4 linked regions of the Danio rerio genome follow. The main gene of each other region encodes a partner of the protein of the gene in region 3 in a complex. Links are inferred from orthologs where the notes say so. Each region holds a gene or a part of one and is shown on either strand. Other genes may lie near its edges.

What was found.
Region 1: tada2a (region 3) and mbip share a complex: the UniProt entries of both Homo sapiens proteins name them as parts of the ADA2A-containing complex. The link is inferred for Danio rerio from reciprocal best matches to the Homo sapiens genes TADA2A and MBIP.
Region 2: tada2a (region 3) and dr1 share a complex: the UniProt entries of both Homo sapiens proteins name them as parts of the ADA2A-containing complex. The link is inferred for Danio rerio from reciprocal best matches to the Homo sapiens genes TADA2A and DR1.
Region 4: tada2a (region 3) and taf12 share a complex: the UniProt entries of both Homo sapiens proteins name them as parts of the PCAF complex. The link is inferred for Danio rerio from reciprocal best matches to the Homo sapiens genes TADA2A and TAF12.

The regions. Positions count from the first base shown.
Region 1 is NC_133192.1:40,162,122-40,168,832, forward strand, and holds the start of mbip (MAP3K12-binding inhibitory protein 1), read left to right. Parts: upstream 1-2,095; 5' UTR 2,096-2,107; coding exon 2,108-2,260; intron 2,261-2,767; coding exon 2,768-2,884; intron 2,885-4,291; coding exon 4,292-4,504; intron 4,505-6,042; coding exon 6,043-6,139; intron 6,140-6,711. UniProt on the Homo sapiens protein: Inhibits the MAP3K12 activity to induce the activation of the JNK/SAPK pathway. Component of the ATAC complex, a complex with histone acetyltransferase activity on histones H3 and H4.
Region 2 is NC_133181.1:26,449,326-26,455,402, reverse strand, and holds part of dr1 (protein Dr1), read left to right. Parts: intron 1-4,396; coding exon 4,397-4,560; intron 4,561-6,077. UniProt on the Homo sapiens protein: The association of the DR1/DRAP1 heterodimer with TBP results in a functional repression of both activated and basal transcription of class II genes.
Region 3 is NC_133190.1:18,242,716-18,248,792, reverse strand, and holds part of tada2a (transcriptional adapter 2-alpha), read right to left. Parts: intron 4,462-6,077; coding exon 4,329-4,461; intron 2,191-4,328; coding exon 2,147-2,190; intron 1-2,146. UniProt on the Homo sapiens protein: Component of the ATAC complex, a complex with histone acetyltransferase activity on histones H3 and H4. Required for the function of some acidic activation domains, which activate transcription from a distant site. Binds double-stranded DNA.
Region 4 is NC_133191.1:38,668,804-38,675,532, reverse strand, and holds the start of taf12 (transcription initiation factor TFIID subunit 12), read left to right. Parts: upstream 1-2,690; 5' UTR 2,691-2,775; intron 2,776-3,215; 5' UTR 3,216-3,281; coding exon 3,282-3,452; intron 3,453-4,884; coding exon 4,885-4,962; intron 4,963-6,247; coding exon 6,248-6,362; intron 6,363-6,729. Other genes in the region: ctps1b (CTP synthase 1b), read left to right, coding at 847-943, 1,404-1,459, 1,545-1,641, 1,715-1,859, 1,965-2,043. UniProt on the Homo sapiens protein: The TFIID basal transcription factor complex plays a major role in the initiation of RNA polymerase II (Pol II)-dependent transcription.

The sequences.
Region 1 (6,711 bases), on a different chromosome or scaffold from region 3:
CTCTCGGCTGTTACAACGATACTTCTGGATATAAGTCTGCATTCCCGTGGCTGTACCTGTACACTGTCGCGAGACCAAAAAAAAATTTATTTCCAAATAAAGCGCGGGAGCGGTCTGTAACTCTGGTGTAATTTGAACAGGAGTGGGCGGTCTCACAATATCGCTCCCGAGCGAGCAAGCGAGCAAGCAAGCAAGTGCACGTGTGTGTGTGTGTGTGTTTATTTGATTGGTGCTGTCTATGTTTGTGTGTGTATGTGTGAGAGACAGTGTAATGCTATGTGTCTATGTGTGTTTTTAAACAGACAGCTTGTTATAGCCCCCGCCAAAAAATATAACACTGTGTATGGAAAGCATCATCAATGCACCAAGATACCGAATTGAACCAAATCGATGGCATGATAATCGTAACCGAACCAAACCATGAGACCAGTATAGGTTCACACCTCTAATCAATAATATCGATTTTTATTTACTTTAACGACAAAATGTCAGTAAATAGCGCTATTCTGCCTAGCCTGCTTTACTGAGCTGAAGTTGGTTTTATATTCACATCACATTGGTTCATTTTTGAACAATGAAAACCTGTGAAGCGCCCTCTATATTGTTTACCCTTCTACTCTGAATATTCAGTCTGAAACAGCATGTAAATGTGACTTACTAATAAATGTAATTCCTGCACATCGCTGACCAATCACTAAGCACACAGGTGTCGATTTAGGACAAAACGCGTAAGAGAGAGTAAGGCCAGCGATCCTTGCATGTATGAAATATTGAACATTATGAAGTTTTGCTTGCAACACTGAAAACATGCTAGATATAAAGCAGTTTTTCATTGGGAATTTTAGTATTATAAAGTACTATAAACTTTTCTAACTGGTGAATGACATGATCTAGTGGGTCTCTGTCATCTTTAATGTGCGTGTTTGTGATAACAGGAGGCGTGGTTTTGGCCAGCAGTGGAGAGATTGAATTTAAAAAATATTATGCTAGCCGGTTATCATTTAGGCTGATCCCCTAATGCACATTTAATATACACTGCCTGAATTAATGTCCACAAACCAGGATTGAGGAGTCTTTTATATTATTGTACTGACATGCTGTTGTGGTGATAAAGACGGCATAATCTCTGTAATTCATTACAAACATGCACTGTTTTAAAAACTTTTTAAACTTGTAAAACTCACTCTCGATCACATTTGATGATGACTGATGATCACAGAAAGCTGAACAGATCTTTTAATCCCAGTTGCTTTGCACACTTTGTGCCTTGTTGATATGATTATGCGTATTACTACTAATACATGTTAGTACGCGGCTGTCAATCAATTCGGTGGACAGGGAAACCGCCCTCCTATGTCACGATGCGGTGGGCCTCAAAATAGGAGGGATTTAAATCCTATTTTAACATTAAGAAATTTTTTAAAAAGAGACCTATTGTCTTTATATCACCTTAATATGACTGTGGACACACACTATACCTATACACAGTTCTGTCCAAACAGATTAGAAAATATTATTTTCATCATAGGTGCCCTTTAAAATTATATTTTATGCAGATATGCTCCACTACACAATAACTCAATTTTAGCAAGCTATTCATCTGGTGAAATTGCATTTATATCGCAATATATATCACAGTGAATGAAAATATTGCAATGTCAGTTTTTTCCAATATCATTTAGGCATACATTTTTTATTTACAGGCCTTTACCTTTAACGTTACACAACCTTTTGAACCCTATTTGTTTGTCTGGGTGTGTGTATTTTTAAATAGCTTTTTAAAGAATGACATGAAATGATCAGGTAAATGCATTACCCTTGGCATATACATAAAAACCCGTTTCATTTTAGTCATATTGATAAATTGTAATGTTAAATGCGATTTAAAAACACAAAAGGGTGAAACAGAAGATTGTTTTGTGACGGACAAAATAATAAACATTAAACACGGTCAATGTCAATATTTAAACTATCGAAATAAAGTAATTTACCTTCGTTTATATTTGCAGTAGTCAATTTTAAATGCTCGTTATTTTGCTAGCGGAAGTGAGGTCATGTTATGCAGGAGACCGTTGGTCCAATCAGCGCAGCAGCCGGGAGCGGAAGAATGATGGCGGCGGACGGCGAAAGACGCGGTGCGTGTGCTGCAAGTAAACAAGAGCAAAGCAGAAGCCAGATTTCACTTCATGCAAGACAAAGGGATGCTTTCAGAGACTGCGTTGCCTCTATTGTCGACTCCCTCGCTGAGCTTGGAGTAAAGGTTTGTTTAAAAGCAAATTCTGCCACGGTGTCACTGTTTGGGATAGAGCTCTTAACAGTCATATTTGTAACGTTATTTCATTTGAGATGCCAAAAGCTAAATATGTAACGTTAAATTATGGAACTTTTCCGAAGTAACAAGATCACCCATGTCGTAAAATTATATGATTTGTCCGCGCTAATATGATTTGTTTCAATCACTTAGATAATTTGTCTGTACTTGTCTGCAATAAGTTGTAATATGCAATATTTCCACTGTCACTGCTGAAATAATCAGCCTGTCCTGGAGTTTTTATAATGGTCTCATATGTTTCTTTTCTGGATTTTTATTCAATTTTTAGCTGGTTTTACTCCCTGCCTCCCCAGCTGACAAGTGCCTAAAATCTTACTACTCATTTAACAAACCATATTGACCAGCGAAATAAACCACCTAGTCTGTTTTAGGCATCTTTTCTGCATTGACAATTTAGAAACCACAACAACAACAAAAAACTGTCTTATTTTCCAGTTAAAAATAGATGATAACGCATTGAAAATCAGTGCCAATGTCAACAATGTGAACATCTGTGAGCTTCAGCCATCTCATGTGCACTCCTGTTTACAACAGCACATCTCCAAACTACAGGTAAACAGAGTCATGTGCATTATAACATTTACTAACACACATAGCTGATTTTTTAAGTATAAAGATATCTTCTGAACCTTTAAATAGATCTTGTAAGTGAATTTTGTTTGCCATTTATTTGTTTACTTATCTGTAATGAACCTTATCCAGAGAATTGGTGAACATTTGTTTCCACAATGGAATAAAAAATTAAACCCATTATGTCACAATTGTAATTCAGAGAATATCATCAGTATTGCCAGAAGGAAACATGATATATTATTGGTGGAAAAGTCAGAATTTTATAATGCTATTTAATATTTTATCTTGCATTTTGACTTTTTATGTTAGAATAGGGACTTTATTGCCCACAAATCTTCATTTGTATCTCACATTTTTGATAAAACGTTTAAATTACAAGATATAAATTATTATAAACGAAGTCAAAACCATTTGAAACCCTGAGATGCAGAGTAACAATACTGAAAATAGTCAGAATTACGAGATAATGTTCATCATTTTCAGTTGCAAGTATCAAATCACAATGCGTTGAAGAAAAGTCACAGTTATCCTTACTTATTTGTTTTTTCTTTGGTGGAAACAAGCTTTTGCTGCAATGTTTTTATTTTATGAAATTAAGGCTTTGAGGGATAGAAAGTAAGTGCACTCTTTTAGTTGATCATTAAAATATATAAAATACATAGTACTGACTCATGTTTATTTATAATTAATCACATCCAAATTCAAAGCTTGTGTGTGTGTGTGTGTGTGTGTGTTTGTGTGTATGCATGTATGTATGTAAGTGTGTGTGTGTGTTTGTGTTCGCGTGTGTGTGTGTGTGTGTGTGTGTGTGTGTGTGTATATATATATATATATATATATATATATATATATATATATATATATATATATATAAATATATATATATATAAATATGCTATTTATTAAATTTTTTTGAGAAAATGTTTATTTACATTTACATATAAAATATATATAATATTTTTTATTGTAAAATTAAGTTTTATGTATATGTGTGTTTTAAATATGCATACTACACACACACATATATATTATGTTACAACGTATTTATATTTTGGTCACGGTTTACTACGATTAATCGTTGCCCTGCACTATTAAATTCATATTATGCAAGTGGAATAATGTTGTTTCCTGAATAATGTTCTTAAAATGTAAATATGTTCAGTGTTTTTTGCAAAACAAAAACTGACAGGGCAAAATGAATCCTTTGTCCTTCAAGATGGTTCTCTGATTAGCTTATCAGCGTTTTTTTTTTTTTTAAATGTATATGACCAGCATTACTGCACATTATCTTCTGACTCCTTGCTAAGACACAGTTTATCATTATAAAGACACTGTAAGACTGTCTTTTACCACATTGTTTTTTTTTTATTAACCTTCTGCTTCTAGTCGGTCTCTGAGAGTTTGAAGCAGATAGTGGAGTCTGAGGCAAATAACTGTACAAGTTCCAACCCAGACATCGGTGAAAGGAAAGAAACTGCACATACATCTGAGCAGATGTTTACTGATGATCCTCTTACATCTGACCACTGTGCTGCCCTTGAGGATCGAAACAGGACTCAAATCGATGATAACGTGCAGATCAAGGCTGCTAAATCAGAGGTAAATTTATCACTTCAAAATGTAGGCATATTTTACACAAATCACAGTTGTATTTATTGGAATATTTAAACAAGTAAGTGATCATATGAATATTTACAAATTGGGGTAAAACGTAGTGGTTTTGAAGGATAGTTGCAAAATATAAAGATTAAAAATGACAATTAATGACAATTTTTTATTATTATTATTATTATTATTTTTTTTTGGAGCATCCGTTATGTAGTGTTTTTATATGTCATCAAATGATTCCTATTCGAAATATGTTTGGCACCGATGACGTAGTGGTTAGTGCATCAACAAATGCACTCACGGCGGTGATCACGGCGACCTGAGTTCGATTTCCACCTTGAGGTCCAATGCCGACCCTTCCTCTTTCTCTCTGCTCCCCATGCTTTCTTGGTAATAGTCTCTACTGTCCTGTTTGTTGATAGTAAAAACTCTGAAAAAATTATTATTAAAAAAAGAAATATGTCTGGCAAAGTTGTTTTGATACATAAACCATTGTTTCAGTGAATTAAATTTTAGTGTGCATCTTCTAAAAATCTTAATAAAATGTGCTTTACATTATTTTAATAACGCATTTTAATTAAGAAAAATATTACCCTTTTATTTTCTAATCAAATCAAATCTAACCAAATAATTTTGTCATAATATTATAAAACATATATATATATATATATATATATATATATATATATATATATATATATATATATATATATATATATATATATATATATATATATTTTTTTTTTTTTTTTTTAATATATATATATATATATATATATATATATATATATATATAGTTTAAATCAAAATGTCAAATGTAAAATCTTTTTTCATCCAAGAGCTATTTTCAGTTTTAATGCAGTAAGTCATAAGTACATTGCTACGTATTAAGATAATTTATTTAGTTGAATAGTTTATTGTTTTCATTTTTATTTACCAATGATTATTGTTAGTCTGAACATTTATTTTTGTGTGTTAAAGCAATCTCTTCTCCCAAAACACAATTAAAGTCAATTGCTTGACAGTCAGAATGTATTATTTGCATGTAATCTGCCCCAGTTGGTCAGTCATATGCAGTGTGAATTGCCATCTGTGGACAGACAGTTGAGAATGAATGAAAGGCTCCTTCACCACTTTTCCTTCAGAAAGAAACAAATAGCCACCCACTTTGAGAGTCCTGAGAGAGGTCCTGGTCCTTGCAACGTTATGAAGTGGATGTTCATTACACGCTGAAATTGCATGTGGGCGAAGGACAAGGAGGCCCTCATTTTTATTGCTTATTTATTTACAGTCACTGTAATAAAAGGCCCAAGCAAATCACAACTATCTGAAACGGTTACGTGTGAGAAATATTTTGATTTTTGGAATAATTGTGTCCACCCTGGTCACTTGTTAGTCATGCAGCCCGTACGGCCTAGCGGTCCTCATTATAACTAAACAGCAAAAAAGAAGACAGTGAATTGATTTTTTTGTTCTTCAATAGCTCATCAGCCTGACCCTCATTGCTCTCTCTCTCCTCATTTTCTCAGATTGAACGTAGGATATCTGCATTTATAGAGCGCAAACAGCTGGAGATCAATGAAAACAATGTGAGGGAGTTTTGCAACGTGATCGACTGCAATCAGGGTGAGAATGGGAGGGTATGGGCGGCAGGGGGGTGGTCAAAGGTATACTGCACAACAATTGCCAATGTTTGTAAGAGTGCTGATTTTCACTGACGTGAGGTCAGAATTCAACTGTCATTTTCACAGAAAATTCTACAAATAAAATCTATTATTGTTAGTGCTGTCAAACGGTTAACTATATAAATAATCCAAAATAAAAGTTTGTATTTACATAACATTCATGGCAGTTTTTCTGAGGCTTTTTAAATGTTAAATTCATATCAACATTATATCTTCATTTATTTATTTTATTTTCAGCTTAGTCCCTTTATTAAACAGTGGTCGCCACATCAGAATGAATATATATATGTATATACACACACACACACACACACAAACACACACACACACACACACACACACTTAAACAAGGCATTTACGCCCATAGAACTTGCACTCACTGGATGTTTCCTTTTTCAGACCAAGTAGTAACATATCAGAAAACCCTTTAAATCAGCAGCTTTCTATCCTGATCCTGGGAATCCACATTTGTACTGAGCATCTTATACACACTCAGTACAGCAACTACACCCA
Region 2 (6,077 bases), on a different chromosome or scaffold from region 3:
CAAACTGTTGTCCAAAAAAAAGCAAGAAAAATGTAAATAAACAATCTTACACATCACCTTAGCAACAGTATTGCAAAAAAATTTGATGGTTTTAAAACCTTGACTTTTTCATACCGCGGTATACCTTGAAAATGGTTATCATTCTATGCCTAAATTCAATGGTCTATTGTAAATTATTCCTTGTTCAATTGGTCTGCAAGTGGTCTTGAGACGCTTGAAAATAAATGATGCGGTGGTTTATGTAGGACTGGGCAGTATGGCCATGTTAATATGCTAAAATTGTTTACATCAGAGTCAGTATCAATAATTATCAAAATAAAATGTCTATTTCTTTAGTTAAAGTGCAGATTATAGCCTCTGGGAGAAAGTTCCAAAAACCAGAATAGTAAATTGTAAAACTAAATTTTATTGTCAAAGATGACAAACATCCAACCTAATGAGCAAGACCCTTTAGCATGTGAACATACAAACAAACTCGAGCAGCTGTTTGTGCTAATGGATAAACAATCTATGTTGTGCAAAGGAACAATGCAGTTATGATATGCTAATGTATTCCACTATTATGTTAAACATTTATAACGTGTTGTTTTACAGAGGGAAAAATTATTACAATAAATATGGTTTTATCGCCAAGCCCTAGGTTTGTGGTGAGAAAACAATTCACCTTAAACAGGGGTCTCAAACTCGCGGCCCGCGTGCCATTTGCGGCCCTCAGTGCAATATTTTGTGGCCCGCGCCGACCGCTGATTCTATCCGTACACAGCGGTCACTGGCATTCCCCGCCTGCCGTGTAAACAAAGGGGCGGGGATGCTGGTGACGTCACCACGCACCCCGCCCCTTTGTTAGACGCTGTGACGGGCGGGAAGTGTTGATTTTTACTTCTGAGTCAAACACCGGCGTAGGCTACGTCGCTGACGCATAGCCCTTCGCCGTGGCCGTCGCCGTCACTGACGTGCACCTCTCAAAAATTGTAACTACACGTTGTAACGACGCGTAGCGCAAGCTCTGTGATTGGTCGGCTTGCTAGCGCCGACGAGTCTGGGCGGGACCGAGAGCCGCGAGAATGGCGCGAGCGATTGTTTACAAGTGTGGAGTCCTGTGAAGGAGCTCCGGATGGAAAGTTTTGTTCTGTGTTTACCTCATGGTAAAAGTTATTGCACGTCCGCCGGTTCCTGCCTCAAAATGAGCGAGTTTGAGTCACTTGTACATCCAGGAAGTGTTCAGAATAGCAAAACAGAAGCGAAGAAACTCGACACAGAGGAACATTTACACCTCACTGCCCACTAGCGTTTCGGAAGTGTTAATGCAGACCAACAGAGACAGCGCGCAGAAGCCTGGTTTATACTTCTGCGTCAAGTGACCGGCGCAACTCACGGCGCAGGCAACGCGCGCAGCTGTGCATTTATACTTCTGCGCATTTATACTTTAAATGCACAGCTGCGCGCGTTGCCTGCGCCGTGAGTTGCGCCGGTCACTTGACGCAGAAGTATAAACCAGGCAGGGAGGGAACTCGTGCCGGCCAGAACCAAGGTAAGCTGTTCCCGCCCCTGCCTGCCACTTAGCTACCTATCTGCAGCCTGCCACCTACCTAGCTACAGCCTGCATCTTGTATATATTATAGGTAGATACAGACTGGTACAGACTGATGTGACTGGAGTGGGGTGGGGGTGTTTTATTTATACATATATATATATACACATATATACATATATAAGATTTGTGAGAATAAGCGCTGTCAAGTCTCTGGCCGCAAGAAGTAGGCAAAAGATGCCATGTTCAGAAGAACTGTTCATAATCTTCACTCAATGTTCTATTAATGTCCAGGACACTTCATGTTCAGAAGAAATAATTAAAACTGTTAATAATGACATTTGAGGACTTTTTTTGTGAAATCCCTTATGCGGCCCAGCCTCACCCAGACTTTGCCTCCTGCGGCCCCCAGGTAAATTGAGTTTGAGACCCCTGCCTTAAAGGGTATGATAAGATATGTGCATATAGACAAAGACTATAGACTACACAACCTGTCACTTGTGTAGTTTCATGGTGAATGAAGCCCTGCCTTCTAGTACAGGAGCCAATCAGCTATCGCTATTCTATATCAGCTATCGCTATAGACTATAGACTAACTCCCTCTGTGGGAGGGATTCGGAACAGCCATGAGTTTCTGAAGATTTTGTGTGATTAGAACGTTTTAGAACTAAAACTAAAGACACCGTTATTGTTTAATTTTATTGTAATTCCTAATATGAAATTTAATCCTAAGCTTGGCAAGCAATTTTTTATAATTGGATGTATCCATATTCAGACAGAATGCCTGAGCATAGTGCCCAAGAGGCGTTTCAAAGATGGCTGCAGAGTGAACTGACTTGCCTTGAAGAATAGGTCTCAAACTGGTTTCCTGGAGGGCCACAGCTTTGCACAGTTTTGTTTCAACCCTAATTAAACAGCTGATTAAAATAAACAAGGTGTTCAAGACTACTATAGACTATTAAGCAGGTGTGAGTTGGAAGTGGTTGGAGCTAAATGATGCAGAGCTGCGGCCCTCGAGGAATTGAGTTTGGACACCCCTGACTTAAAGGGACTTTGATATAGAATAGCGCAGGGGTTCTTATACTCTATCTTGGAGATCCGGTGTCCTGCAGATTTTAGCTCCAAAAAAAGGATGTTTCTAGAAAGCCTATTAAGAGCTTGATTAGCCAGCCCCATTAGATTTGGGTTGGAGCTAAAATCTGCAGGACACTGCACCTCCAGAGCCAAGATTAAGAAGCTCTGGACTGATTTCACAATCCTGTTTCTTGTGCCCACTGAACTGCACGTTTCTTATGGTTTTCTTTTCACTTCAGACACTTGTTCTTATTTGACAAGTTCCCTGCAAAGTGACTTTAGAGGATATTATGCCATGTTTTATTTTTGAAGACAGCATATATATTTTATTCAAAGGAAGTTTCAATGTGTGATATGTAAATGTATTGTACAATATATTTATGTAGGCATGTCACATCTCAAGTAAGAAGACTCTGCAGGCATTTAGGCAATGCTATTGTGCAAATCTGTGAATGAGTGTTCCGAAGTGAAATAAATGTATTTTGTGCTCAGGTAGAGCTCAATGAAGAAAAAGCGAGTAGGGAGTAATGCACACTGTGTGGAGACCTGTTAATTCTAACATGGTTGATGCATGGAGCTTATTTAACGAGCTGGTTATCAAGATCAGGTGTGTTAAATAAGAGTATGCAAAATGTTCGGACTGGTGGGGCACGGCATTGAGAAACACTGATTTAGACTAGCTGATATTAGCTTAATCTTCAAATTCAACCTAGAAGAAATTGATACATAGTAAAAGCAGTAACCCCTTTTCCCCCCAAACAATACACATGGTCTACAAGTGAGAAAATTGTGTAAAACAAATTTGATAAACACCTGAACAGTGTTTTGTCGGAACATTACAGAATATTTAGGTCAGTTTGTTTAAATTATGAAGTGAGAAATCAGCATTTAACAAAACAATGTGGCTGTTAGCACTCATTTTGAGGACGCCAGTAAAGTCATGCTTATTTTTATTGAACGTTATGCAGATGATTGCTATTAAAACTGCATAGAATGGAGAAAACTGTCAGTCTTGCTGTTAATTATAATTTTACATCAAATTCTACTGACAAGCATCTCTGTATTGATTGTTACTACTTTTGGAAATGAACTAGAACAAATTTCCTAGTCAAACTACATGCAGATTTACATAACTGCCGGAGAAAATGTTGTTGGGAAGGTGTTTACCAGCTGAAGCAAATCTTCTGGGAAGTTTACAATGACAAGCTGCTTTGGCCTCATAAAGCAAATACCACACAAACTCTGTTTTGACCTGATTTATTTTTTGCCACATCAGTTTTTCAATTTACTTCACTTAAAGTATATCAAAGCCTTTAGTTTGAATCTCAAAGCCTTTAGTTCGAATCTCAAATTTTTGACCAACTGTATCAATGTCTACAATATTCAGTCTAAAATAAGTTATTTTTCACTTATTCTAAACCCTTTAGTTTTGTCAACTGAATGCAAAAATCTATTTTTTAAAATGTTGGTAACCGGTAGTCATTAGTTTCCGTAGTATTTATATTTTCTTACTATGTATATCAGTGGCTACTTGTTACCAAAATAAATAATATACATCACAGAGGGTGGATTGAAACAGCCTTTTAACTAAGCAAATTTTATTTTTATTTTTGTGTGAACTATCCCTTGAAGTTCGCTTCTACGGAGCATATGGATGGATGTAATTGTTTTCCTGTTCTGAAAAATATTTTTTGTGAATATTTACAGTGAATATTTTCACTGTAGTTACAATTTTTCACTTAAATATACTTTTTTTCTTAAATAACATTATATGTGTTCTTCTTTTTTAAGCACTGGAAAGTCTAGGATTTGGGTCATACATCGCAGAAGTAAAAGACGTTCTGCAGGAGTGTAAAACTGTAGCACTTAAAAGAAGAAAGGCCAGCTCTCGACTAGAGAACCTTGGCATTCCCGAGGAAGAACTTCTCCGCCAACAACAGGAATTATTTGCTAAGGTAAAAATGCATGCCGAATGGTTAATTCTAAAGATTTCACTCTTAGCTTAGCAGTTGGTGCCTTCTCGTTTTTTTTTTTTTTTTTTTTTTAATGCAAAAAGGTACACAAATTACATTAAATCACCAGTGTTGCCAACTTAGTGACTTTTCAGACCCCCTTAGCGGCAAATATTCCAAAAAAAAAAAAAAGCGACTAACAAAAAATCTAGCAACTTTTTTTGGTGTTACTGGAGATTTTTTATGGACTCTTAAGCCTAGTTCACACTAAAGGATTTTAAGCCTGATTTGAGCCCGATTTGAAAGTTAACGAGCTTGCTGACAGATCGGACTGTGATCGGGAAAAACAATTTCCTGGTGCTCGGCGCTCTGCAGTCTTATTTATGAACTACTGAATAACGGATCAAAAAGGCTTGATGACACCTCGCAGACAGAAATACAATATCTAGCATGCTGAATATTCCAGAGCAGTCGGCCGACTCGACCCCACGCGCGTTCATATGAAGTGATGAGCTGCAGCCAATGAGGGAGAGCATATCAGCATGAGCTGAACGTGTGCTCAGGAGCTCAACAGAAATGTCTGTGATTGGCCAGAATGGGCATCGATGCACTCGCTTCATTTTGTGTTAACACAGACACGAGAATAGGCTGTAATAACAGTGGAACTAGAATTCTGTAACTGGATCATTGCTTTTTCTGTATACTGGTCATTCTGACCATTCTCATATAAAACATCATATTGTCACATCATATTTACATTCTAAACTTCTTTTAAGATATTAAAATTAGCCTTTGAATGCCTGTCAACATTTTCACACCATTACCCTAAACTTTTATTTTTTTCAGTAATACAGCTTGTAAATATTTAGTTAAATACTAGAACACGCAAAGGTCTGGGCCTTCATTTTCACTTTCAAACAGAAGCAATTTCATGACACAGAAAATGCAGTTTTGAAAGATATATCTGGAGTTTTTGCAAGCAGAAAGTTATGTTTATGTTAGAAGGAAGTTGCTAGGCAAAAAATGCATTTATATTTACAGTCACAGTGAAAAGTAACTGGCATGCATGCAGTCATTTTGACCTATACGGTAATTAAAGGTAGAAATGCTCAGTTCTTTACTGTTTTGTCAATTAAAAAAATATCAATGTTAAAAAAAATACACAGATATTTAGGAAATGTCCAGGTGTTGAGGATTTGTTAGTTTTTTTTTCAGAGTTATTAAATTAAAAAAATGAAAAATTCTGTTTCTATTCACTTGAACCTTGCAGATGAGTTATCAATCTGCTCAGCTAATTGACTATATTTTTAAATGCTCCCTTGGAAGCTTGAAACGCTGTCAGTGATGTCATCAGCACACTAGCAGCCAGTGGTGTTCATTTTCTTTGCAAAGTTAGTCAAACCGATCTGCTTCTCCATTGTTTTAAATTTAACAATTTAATTTGGCTGTTTTTTTTTTTCTTGTTCACAATCAGAGAGATTTTAGTGAGTTTCTGAACTTTTGTGAGTTTATTGTGTCTG
Region 3 (6,077 bases):
TGATTTATTTAGAATGACGCATAGCACAAGCTCTGTAATTAGTCGACTTGGTAGCAGTGACGAGTGTGGGCAGTGTGAAGAGACGCGAGCTCGATTGAGCAAGAGTTTACAAGTGTCGCAAGCTTTTGTTTTGTGTTTAACTTTTGTCTTATCTTTGTCTTATCAGTTTTAGCTACTTGTACATTAAGGTAGCATTCAGAAATAACAAAACACTCATGACTTAACACAGAGGAACATAAAAACCTATTGCCAGCTAGCGTTTCAGAAGAGTTACTGCAGAGCAACGCAAACAGCTCATCTGTGTGAATAAATGCTTCATAATTGCTCAATTTTGTTATTACTTAATAATTTTTTTTTTGGAATGATGGTAAAAATGTGTCTGGTTTAAATGTGCAAAAAAAAAAAACTAAAACAATATAAAGCACCAATAAGCTCTGCATTACAACGATTTAATAATGGGATATTGAAAGCTGTGCTGCCTTTATTAAAAACACATTTATTATTCATCATAACATTAATATTGAATAAAACTAATAACAATAATTATAAAAGTATTGTTGCAGGAAACAATTTAAAAAAATGAAATGTAAATTGTAATTAATTATAATTTTATAAGAATCATTTGCTAAAATTGTCTAATAATGAATGCATCAAGAAAATCCATTTTCAAATCCTTCTCTTCTTATTGTCAACACATATATATATATATATATATATATATATATATATATATATATATATATATATATATATATATATATATATAACAGTTCTGTCTGGTTCTCCAATCTGATTGGCTAATAGCCGTGATATATTTAAGTAATATCAGCACACGTACAGCCTCTTTACGCTTTGTGTATTACTCCGCCTATATACAGCCAGCAAAAAGCAGACACTACAGATCTAAAATTTAAAAGATGCTTGCTCAACTGTTTAACTGTCAGCTAATGATTTGAATCCGGAAGAAAGTAGTTTCACATACAAAAGGGTTTTTGAAACTCTCCGTGTTTGATTTTGTTTTTATATACACAATTATGCCGTCAAACTGTTGTATAAACGCAATATCACACTCGTATCGACACTGGTGGGGGCACTAAGGAACTCAGCACTGCTACTTGTGTGATATTGCTCATATATATAGTTAGAATATTTAATGCATATTATTACATAGTAATGTAATATTGAATTTATTTAATAACTTAAAATATTATAAATATATACTGTATGTTATAATATATATCTATAGCTAAATTATTATTATTATTAATATTATAAATGAGTTAAATCGGGACACTGTAAGATTCTGTTTTTATTGTCATTAGAATTTGTCTATAAAATTAATCTCGTAATATACTTGATTTAAAACAATTAAAAACATTACTTAAAGATTATTTATAAAATAGCTAAAATATACAAAATATTTATAAATATATACAAATCTCATTTTACCAACTTATTTATCAGAATCAGAGAATTCACATAATTTGAATTAAATTCAATTGTCAAAATAATAATAAAAAAACGAAAACTTGTGTACAATGATAACATTTATAACAGAAATGTCACAAATTTTCTCCATAACATATTCCACAACTATTTATTTTACAATAGAAGTAATTTAAAATACATGTAAAAATTGCTGATAAAAATACTTGCATACCAACATATTTATCAGTATCAGAGAGTTATTTGAGAATTTCTAATTTGTGTATTACTGTAAAAATTACATCAAAATTAAATATAAAATTTTTATAAATTGTATTTATAAACTGATTTAAATATTAATTAATTAATAGAAAATGAACAATAATAAAACTATAATAAATCATTTAAAAAATATCACTATCAGTCCAATCTAAAATGACTTGGTTTTAAATCTCAATGGTTCACAACCACAGACTGCAATCAGATTCATATGCATTCAAATACGTCCTAGTTGTGCAGTGAAGTGACAAAAGCAGCCAAAATGTGAAAGCACAAAACACTGAAATACATGCGAGCTGTGTGAGTGGCTGGCTTTTTGTAGCCGGTATTTACAGCCGAATGTGTTTGAGCCGGCGGCTTCACGGCTGAAGAGCGCATCACAAAAGAGAGAGGAGGACAGGACACACAGCGTGAAAAATGCAAGAAATCAACAGCACTGTACCTGAGGTGCTGATAGTGCTGACCACAGGCGCGATTCCAGCGTCACTGGCAAACAAACACACACACACAGTTAGTCAACAGCTCAACAAACGCTTCTGAAAGACTGTCTGCGGCTCTTGGGCTTTTGAGCCAAATCAAATATAAACTGATTCATCGTTCACTTGGTATGCATTTGCTCAATACTTACACGAAGCCCCAAAAACACAAACAAACTGTCAGATAAAGAGCCACGAGCTGAATGAGAATGCTCTGTGGACCAGCAGACAATAAGAAACATCACTCACACACACACACATGTGATGATAAAACAGCGCATGAAGGTAATATTATAGTAGACATAATAGTAAAATATTGCAGTAATATCATCACTGTGAGTTATGGAGAACGCCATGATGGAATGACAGTCTTATGAGTATAGATGGCTATTTAAAAGTTTGCAATCTGTAAGATTCTGTTCATTTGTTTGCTTGTTTTGAAATAAAATAAATCAGAAAAGACAAATGTAGCTTCAAACGGCTCTAAACTATTTAAACTAAAGAATTAAATCTGCAAGCACCGATAAAAGGAATCTAGCACCCATGCTTACCGCCGCCCGGAGGCCTTAGGATGACAGAGAACAAAAATAATTTGAACTGATATATATATATTAAAAATCTAAGAAAATGACAGATTTATGTCAAACTTCCTTCAGTCAGCAGGTAGCGCTATGACTGTGACTCAATATCTATATATCTTCAGGAGGGAAATCTCATCGACTATGTGAAAACTCTAGATCTTCACTATTTAACATCACAAAGGCCTTTGAATTATACTGACAAAACCTGGAATCAATCTGATAAAATTAGTATGTGTTTGTAACACTGTACAACGTCATTTTCTATTGCCAGCAGGTGGCACTGTAACTGGATATTAAAAATTATTGGCCTTGGAGATGTTAAATTGCGAATATCTAGAGCGTGTCTGTGGCGGCCTCGCAAACTTTGACGAATCTCCACGAAACAGGTAGTTTTTATAACTCAGGCATGCACTGTCTGATCTGCCTCAAAATCCACGTTTGATAAGAGTCCTGACATGAACACATTTACATGTTAATATCCAGTTACAGTTATATACATACATATATTCAGGGCTTGACCTAAACACCTGCCAACCCGTCAAGTGCGGGTAGATTTTAACTGTAGCGGGTTAGACAGACACCCCCACTAGCCACTTTGGCTGGTTGAAAATAATAGGAGATGATAATTTGCAGAGCTGCCTGGACCCTAAAGATTAGTATGGTAAAGATTATTTGTTAATATGCACCCAAATGTGATCTTAAAACCGAGAAGCAGCACGATTGATAACTTTTCATGTGAGGAAAAGAAAGCAGGTGAATACCAAATGAGAGGATGATTGGGCGCACGGTAGACACAGGCGATACTCACTCACTGACGTTGTGAGCGAAGCACAGCTGATCTGAACCACGGGAGTGCTTAAAAGCTCCTGTTCTCTGACGCAAAACAACCGGGACTGGAAATGGTGTGATCATTTCTCTTTGAAATAGACTGGAAAAAAGCGGTGCTCAAGCACCCACTGTCCTGCTGATTTCAGGAGCTCCAGATTGTTTGCATGCAGCCGCTATTGCCGCTTTTGCTTATGTGGACATAACACATCATTTAAATCAAGCAATTTTAGCATGCCAAAATCAAATGTATGCATATGAAATATATTTTTCCACAATTGTGGCTAGTGAAAACGGCAAGTGGCTAGTAACATTGGAAAACTACTAGCCACAATGGCTAGTGATCAAAAAAGTTAATGTCAAGCCTTGTGTGTATACATACATACATACACACACTATATATATGTATACATTTTTTTCATTTATTTTAATATATATTTTTATATAAATATATATAAAATAATCGTTTATTAAAATTAATTGAGGTAAAATGTTCAATTAATCAAGAGTTTTATTTTAAGCCAAATCGCCCAGCCATACCCATTTTGATCTCAAAAATGTAAAAAAAGATGAGGAGTTTACATCCATGAACTCAATTTGTGCTAACACTCCTTATTTTAGCATTTTTCCAAACTGTGCTGAAAACTAAGCAGCACTGAGGCAGGGGGATTCATGACTCATGTAATAATACATTTTAACATAAAGGAAGCAGTATTGTGAGTGAGTGAGGAAGAGATCTTACATGGCAGCTTGTTTGTGCAGCCACTGCTGGCAGGCGCGGGTGTCATGAATGTACTGCAGGACGTCACAAAGCATGTTCCTCTTCCTGCGCTCATCCTCTCGTGTGCGTTTCACTCGCTCATAGACTTTAGCACCTGCAGACCAGATGACAGGTGTCACTTCAGATATGAACATAGATCTCTGTATGTGAGATCTGGCTAGCATTATCAAAAAGCTGTGGTCAGAGCGTATGGACCATATTCAGATGAGATAGTGCTTGATTCTGCTTAAATCATCACTTGTTGACTGTGTTCTAATTTAAACTGCCTCTACATGATTTGGAATTACCATCCACAAAAAATTTTAAGTTGATCTTTTCTAAACATTTGTAAAAATGTAAAGGAGTGAAAATTGTTCACTGATATCTAAATAACAGGTTTGTGGCTCAGGTAAGCAAAAAAATAAATCTCCAGAAACAATCTTTAAGCACTTTTACTCAGTATACGTGTGTTTGTTGCCTCATCACAAATATACACAGCGAATTATATACTTTAAACTAACAAAAGAGAGGAGTTAAACAGACCTTATGCCTCTTCAAGGTGGTGCTGAATACGTTTTTAATCCGTATATCCTGCATTTTGCTTTCTGACAAGTTGTGAGCACTTAGTGGTCATGCATAGCTGCCTACTTCACTAAACTGTTCCTTTTTTAATCTCCCTGCCTGTTCCTATTTTCAAAACAAGAGACCCACATGCATAGTATGTTTAATACAAGCTTATATAAAGTTAAAAATAAGGGGAAAATAATAATTGATGTAATCTCACTAGAAAACGTTGTGGCCAATCAAACACTGCCTGGGGCGTTCATTTAATTGATTCTGTGTGGATTGTCAGAGTTTGTGTTTTGTTCCAATTGGCCGGATTTTCACTGGGATTTTGCACTCACAGGATTTGTTGGAGAACAATAACACATTGATATTTGAGGCTCATGATATGTAATTTCCATGAACTCTTATTATTCAGCTATGCCTAGGTATATCCAAAATGTCATTCTATGGCACATTTAAGAATTTTCTGACAACTTGAATGTTACTTTCTCAACTCAATACTAGTCACATATTGTTTATAATTAATTATAAGACTTTGCGTATCATTTAATAACTCTATATACTTTATAGCTGTGTATATTTTCACATTTATTAACTTTTTTTTTACCTTGTACTGTTCTGAATTCTGGATTATATTGAAAGGAACCACTGTCAAAAAAGTGCTCCAATGTGTTCACCATTGGTGAATGTGGTTATACTCATGACAGGTACTATTTGGTCATTACTAAGTTGGCAACCGTCAAATGTCATTTGGGAAACGGTTTGAATTTCTGGTTAGTAAAATACTGGCACTAAATTCATACACTATGTGTGTAAGTACATAAGTACACAGTGAGTAAGTGCATGGTGTGTAGTATCCCGTACTTATGACTTTTCATGACATCTGACCAATCAGAACATAACAAAGGGGGTTTAAAAAAACTGCATTAATGAACCATCTATTTTATTAACTGTGTGAAATGAGCTGAGACTACAACATACCGACCACTTTATTAGGTATACCTGTTCAACTGTACGTTAACCCATAATTTTAAATTAGCCAATCACATGGCAGCAACTCAACGTATTTAGGCATGTAGACATGGTCAAGACGATCTGCTGCAGTTCAAACTAAGCAACAGAATGGGGGAAAAAAAATTAAGTGACTGTGAATGTAGCATGGTT
Region 4 (6,729 bases), on a different chromosome or scaffold from region 3:
TTCATTTAGAGCAGTAATAGCAATACTGTAATAGAGTAAAACTATTATATATAAGCTCAGTTGGCTTTCTGTGTGAAGTTTGCATGTTCTCCCTGCCTTTGTGTGGGTTTCCTCTGGGTGCTCCGGTTTCCCCCACAGTCCGAAGACATGCGGTACAGGTGAATTGGGTAGGCTAAATTGTCCGTAGTGTATGAGTGTGTGTGTGTGTGTGTATGTGTGGATGTTTCCCAGAGATGGGTTGCGGCTGGAAGGGCATCCGCTGCGTAAAAACTTGCTAGATAAGTTGGCGGTTCATTCCGCTGTGGCAACCCCAGATTAATAAAGGGACTAAGCCGACAAGAACATGAATGAATGAATGATATATATTTATATGAATATATATATATATAATTATTTTTAGGGTTTTTTCACCTTTATTAGATAAGACAGTGGAGGAAAGACAGGAAAGCATTGGGATCAGAGAGAGGGGAAGGATCGGCACAGGACCTCGAGCTGGGAATCCAACACGAGTAGCCGTGAGCACCATGGTGCCACATGTCGACACACTTAACCACTAGGTTATTGGCGGCAACGAAACCATGATATTTTTATTCAGGGTTATCATACCATCAGAAACATATAACGGCCCATGCCTAGAAGGTAATCTGTTGTGGCTTTTTCAAAGTATTCAGTCACACCAGAATTTACAGTATGAAAACAATTCAATCAAATGCTTTTTCAACTACATCTGGAGGTGGCTTAAATTGGGCATACTAAAAGCTGTTAGATCTCAATTTACACCTTTTTTGTGTAAATAATGATCAAATCGCTGAAATGCATCTTAATATATCTGTGTTTTGGATCTAGGTTATTGAAATGCCTGAGCACAATCCAGGGCAGATGGGTGGAACCATGCGGCTGGGAAAAAGACGCACCTTATTCAAAAGCACCCCCAGCATTCTCCGTAAGTTGTGATCTTTTGTTTATCTTAAAATCATACATTTTCTTTTCGGCTTAGTACCTTTATTAATTTGGGATCGCCACAGCGGAATGAACCGCCAGCTTATCCAGCATATGTTTAACATATTGGTTTCTTTTCCGGCCGCAACCCATCACTGGGAAACACCCATACACTCCCATTCACACACATACACAATGGACAATTTAGCTTACCCAATTCACCTGTACCACATGTCTTTGGACTTGTGGGGGAACCCGCCGGAGCACCCATGCGAACATGGGGAGAACATGCAAACTCCACACAGAAATGCCAACTGACTCACCCAAGGCTTAAACTAGCGACTTTCTAGCTGTGAGGCGACAGCGCTACCCACTTAAAATCTTAAAATCATATGTCACAAATATAAATGTACATTCTATTTAAATAAGTGCATATAGATAATATTTGAATTATATTGTTGTAGGAAAGCTGTATGGAGATGCTGAATACGTGGACGAAAGGCATCGACACCGCTTTGAGGTTTGCAATAAAGATCTACTCTAAAATACCGTAAATGTTTTGTTTTCTATTTATTCATGTTAGTAATCTTTGCATTTTTTTCCAGGTGAATCCAGAACTGAAGCACCACTTCGAGGATAGAGGTTTTCGATTTGTGGGTCAGGACCTAGAGGGGGAGCGGATGGAGATCATTGAACTTGAAGGTCAGTGATCGTCTAGTATTTGAAAAAGCGGTCAGTCAGTGCTCATTTCAACTGATTTCTTCTGTCCAAACAGATCACACGTATTTTGTTGGAGTGCAGTACCATCCAGAATTCACTTCTCGCCCGATCAAACCCTCACCACCGTATTTCGGCCTTCTGCTGGCAGCGTCTGGGAAACTGCAAAACTACCTCCAGAAAGGATGCAGGCTCTCACCTCGGTTTGTTGCTTCTTAAACTCATATCATCCTAAATTAATTTAAAGTGGAGACATGCAGTATACTGTGTAAGTTGTCTTATTATCTTGTTTTCCTTTTCTCTCTCAGAGACGCATACAGTGACCGAAGCGGCACTAGTTCACCAGACTCGGAAATCTCTGAATTCAAATTCCCATCGCTTTCTTAAAAAGGAAAAACCCACCTAATCATAAAAACACATGAATGACGTTTTATGATATGAATGTATGAATTTAAATAAATGGATAACAATGCTAATGTGTTGGTTTTAAAATGTGAACAAGTGTGTTGTGTACAGTGGTATAGAAGTGATAATTTATAGTTATTCATTGTACATTTTCATTTAATTTAATTTATTTAATTAATTAAAATTTTAGAAATAATGTGTTTTAATAATTTTAATTTGTATATTAAAGTAATTTTTTATTATACAGAACTAGCTGAAATATTATATATTAAAAGTTTTATGAAATATTTAACATTTATTGTATTTCGAGTATCATAACTAGTATTACTTGGATGGTTTTATCAGGAGTTGACATTAATAACAATGAGCTGTGTTTAAAATGGCTCACTGAACTTGTCTATGCAAATACATATGTAAATTGATTGTTTTTACAAACTAGGGGATTTTTATATATAGAGAGAGAGCACTCTACCACTTATAACTATTACTTTACCAAATAAAATAACAATTTGGAAGAGATCATTTTCCAGAAGGCTTCATCAACTTCTCTGTGCTTTTATTTTGTAAGACTTTTGAGATCTCGCGATACTTCGGTTGAGCTCCGTTCGTCAGAAGAGGCGCTTGTAGAAGGAAAAACAACTTGGAAGGGCTTGTGCATATTTCCAGACCTTAAACGTCGAAGATGGAAAGATAATACAGAATTATTTGCATCAGGTACTGCAACGATTAACAATTAAACGGAATTACATCAAACAAAAGGAAAGCATCGCGAGACGTGTATTGGCACGAATGTTTTTCTCGCTAATGTTAGCTGCTAATATGTTAAGCTACAGTGTGATGATTAAAAACAACAACTATGAAGAAATTCAGACTAAAAACCATACTTATTTGGTAATTTGCATTATATCACATTAATATCAGCATAACACTTACATTATCAATTAGTTTAAGTGAATTATGTCATAACACACTGGCGAAGCAAAAAGGCTAACGCTAGCATATACAGCAAATGACAGTTCGGTGATGTTTATTTCTATCGAGCTAAAAGTTCTTCACTTCGTTGATATAACTTACTTAAAACAGCCGTTTAATATCCTTAATGTATTTATGCATTGATTAAACTCAGTTGAACTCTTAATATCTTTTTTCTGCAGCTGATTTAAAACTCCCACTAGTTCTGAAGAGGCTTGTGACATTTGACATCTCTTGATTAGCATAGTATGACCCAGTATCCAGCACAGACCAGTCGCTCGAATTTCTACACGGTTGTGAAAGCAGAAGCCTCTTCAACACCGCCGCTGTCCAGCAGCATGGCCAACAGCACGGTCGCTCCGGGGAAACTGCCCGGCACCCCCGGACCAGCAGGCAGACTGAGCCCAGAAGGACCTCAGGTGGGTCAGACTGTACAGCTATTATAAGACTGAGGTAACGTTGGTTTTATTTTCGGATATTTGTTCAGTAAGACGGTCCCTATATTGTTTACTACGAATATTCAGTCTGTACTTGCATCAAAGTATGACTACAAAAGAATATTAGCACTATTTAATTGACTGTGAACAATGTTGTACTTTGATAGTCATTGGCTACTAATAAGATTTCTACTATTAGAATTTGCAAAGAATACTTTTCTGAAATTATATTATTGAGAAAGTTTGAATGTGCGAACCAACTTTTACTTTCACACGAACATGCATAAAAACATTCCTTCCTCTAAATGATCATTTATTTCATTTCTGCGGAAACCTAGAGAAGAAAGCAAATACACAGTCGAAGCTCTTCTTTAAAACTTATATTATATTATATTATATTATATTATATATGTAAAAAGAACCTAGATTAAAAAATGAAACAAAACAGTATCTAATTTAAATCTTAACATTTAACTACATTAATATAGTTTAAAATTAATAACAATTTAAATTGAATATAAATTTAATTTTTAAATATAACATTTTTCCCCATTATTAATGTAAAATCATATTGGCTTATTTAACCTTGTCTCAAAGCAAAATAAAAAGTAGCAACTATAATAAACTGTGTAACGTTAAATAAAATGTTTTTAAAAACTATTTGTTTGACTATTTTTGTCAAAACATTTTTGCTTCATTCAATCTATCATGATTTGCACTTCTACTCTTCCGTAGCTTTGGATGTAGCAGTATACCTATCATGATTGAAAATTTTGTGTTGATGATTACTAATCAAGCAAATAATTTTAAAAATATTTAGATTTTTAACAGTTTAGAATAATTTTATTTATTTATATACATATATACTTTTTATTTTGCTTTGAAACATGATTAAATATAGGCCAGTATGGCTTTAAAACTATGGAAAATAATATAAAAATTAGAATTAAATTTAAATTCCATTTTAATTATATTTATATTTAAATTATATTAATGTGTGGTAAATGTTAAGATTCAAATTGTATTTTTTTAGTTAAAATTTTGAGTCTTGGTCCGTTTTATATTAAAATAAAAAATCATATAAAACCAAGCAATCATAATGTTATATGATATTATAATATAACAATATATGTGGGAAAGAAGATCTTTGGTTCTCTGTTAGTTTGGTCTTCACAGAAATAAAACAAGCTGTCATTTACAGGTAAAATGTATATTAAGCATGTTAATTTGTTTATGCACTTAATTTCCCTCATTTAAAAAAAAAAAACCTGTTTTCAACACCTGAAAGTAGATCAAATAACAAAGATCAGACAAATAATCAATATTTGCGATAGACCTATATGTGAAAATAGACTTTTTTAAGCCAATTTAAAAATATATTGACATTTATGTATTTTTATTGTCCTCCCTACAGGTGCTCAGTAAGAAGAAGCTGCAGGACCTTGTTCGAGAAATTGACCCTAATGAGCAACTTGATGAGGATGTGGAAGAAGTACGTGTGTCTTATTATTGATGATGTTCAAAAGTGTTCTCACACATTCATTGTTGACTAGTCAGTTTGTTGCCCAAATTACCATTTTAAACACACTTGAATAATAAATAGTTGAGTTTGTGAGAAACAAATGGGATTTTAATTGCAATGATATATAAAACACTTAGGGAAATAATCAGTTGATGTACAGTTGCAATCAGAATTATTATCCCCCCTGTTGAATTTTGTTTTTCTTTTTTAAATATTTCTCAAATTATGTTTAACAGAGCAAGGACATTTACACAGTATGTCTGATAATATTATTTTCTTTTGGAGAAAGTCTTATTTGTTTTATTTCGGCAAGAGTAAAAGTAGTTTTAATTTTTAAACACCATTTTAAGGTCAAAATTATTAGCCCCTTTAAGCTATATATTTATAGTATACAGAACAACCCATCATTATAGAACAACCTGCCTAATTACTCTAACCTGCCTAGTTAACTTAAATAATCTAGTTAGGCCTTTAAATGTCACTAAGCTCTATAGAAGTATCTTGAAAAATATCTAGTAAAATATTATTTACTGACATCATGGCAAAGATAAAATAAATCAGTTATTAGAAATGACTTATTACAACTAATATGTTTAGAAATCTGTTGAAAAAAACTGCTCTCTGATAATAATTCCGGATTCAGGGGGTTTAATCATTCTGATTGCAACTGTATATTAGACCTGAAATATCTGTTTTTGTCAGTTCAAGAATTTAAACTATACTATATTTGTACTATAATGCATTATAGTGTGTGTGTGTGTGTGTGTGTGTGTGTGTGTGTGTGTGTGTGTGTGTGTGTGTGTGTGTGTGTGTGTGTGTGTGTGTGTGTGTGTGTGTGTGTTTTTTTACTATATTTGTACTATAATTCATTATATTTTTTATGAAGAATGCATTGATTTTGTCAAATTCAAATAACAATAACACTATTACAACAACAACAACAACATCAAAAAATAAATAAGTGTTTTTTTAAATGCTGCTTTGTTTATCAAATGATGCATAAAAAATTAAAGATGATAAAACTAACATACTTGAGCACAGACTCAACAAATTCAGAATGATTTCTGAAGGATGAAAAAAATGAAGATTAGTTGAGTAATGCCATCACAGGAATAAATGACATTTTTACATTTTATAATTATTGTTATTATTTCATTACTTTTATTAGCGATTACAGCCTAAATGAAAAAGAACAGTAGAAGGATATGCTAACATTACTGTTACTACAGTGTTGTCTGTTGACCATTTGTTTCAGATGCTGTTGCAGATAGCTGATGACTTCATTGAGAGCGTGGTGACTGCTGCATGCCAACTGGCCCGACACAGGAAGTCAAGCACTCTTGAAGTAAAAGACGTCCAGCTACACCTTGGTGAGGATCTTAAATGATCATTTTATCCATGGACTTGAGTGCTTCATTTGAATACATTTGAATAAGTACACTTTTAAAAGGGTAATTCACTCAAAAATGGAAATGTATTCCTTATTTACACTAAAAGAGATATTTTAACAAAAAGATGAAAACCAGTGAAACAGAGGCCAGCAAAGTGAAGTGCTATGCTGGTTCAATGGGTTGGGTGCAGTAGGACCGGTGGGCTACAGATGGGGGCTCGTCCAGGATGGGAGTGAGGTTTAAGGGGCTGACTGTAACGAAGGCCAGCTAGTGAAGTGCTACGCTGGTAAACCTCACTCTTCTGACCTATAAAGGTGCTTTATCAACAGACGCTAGAGGTCATGGT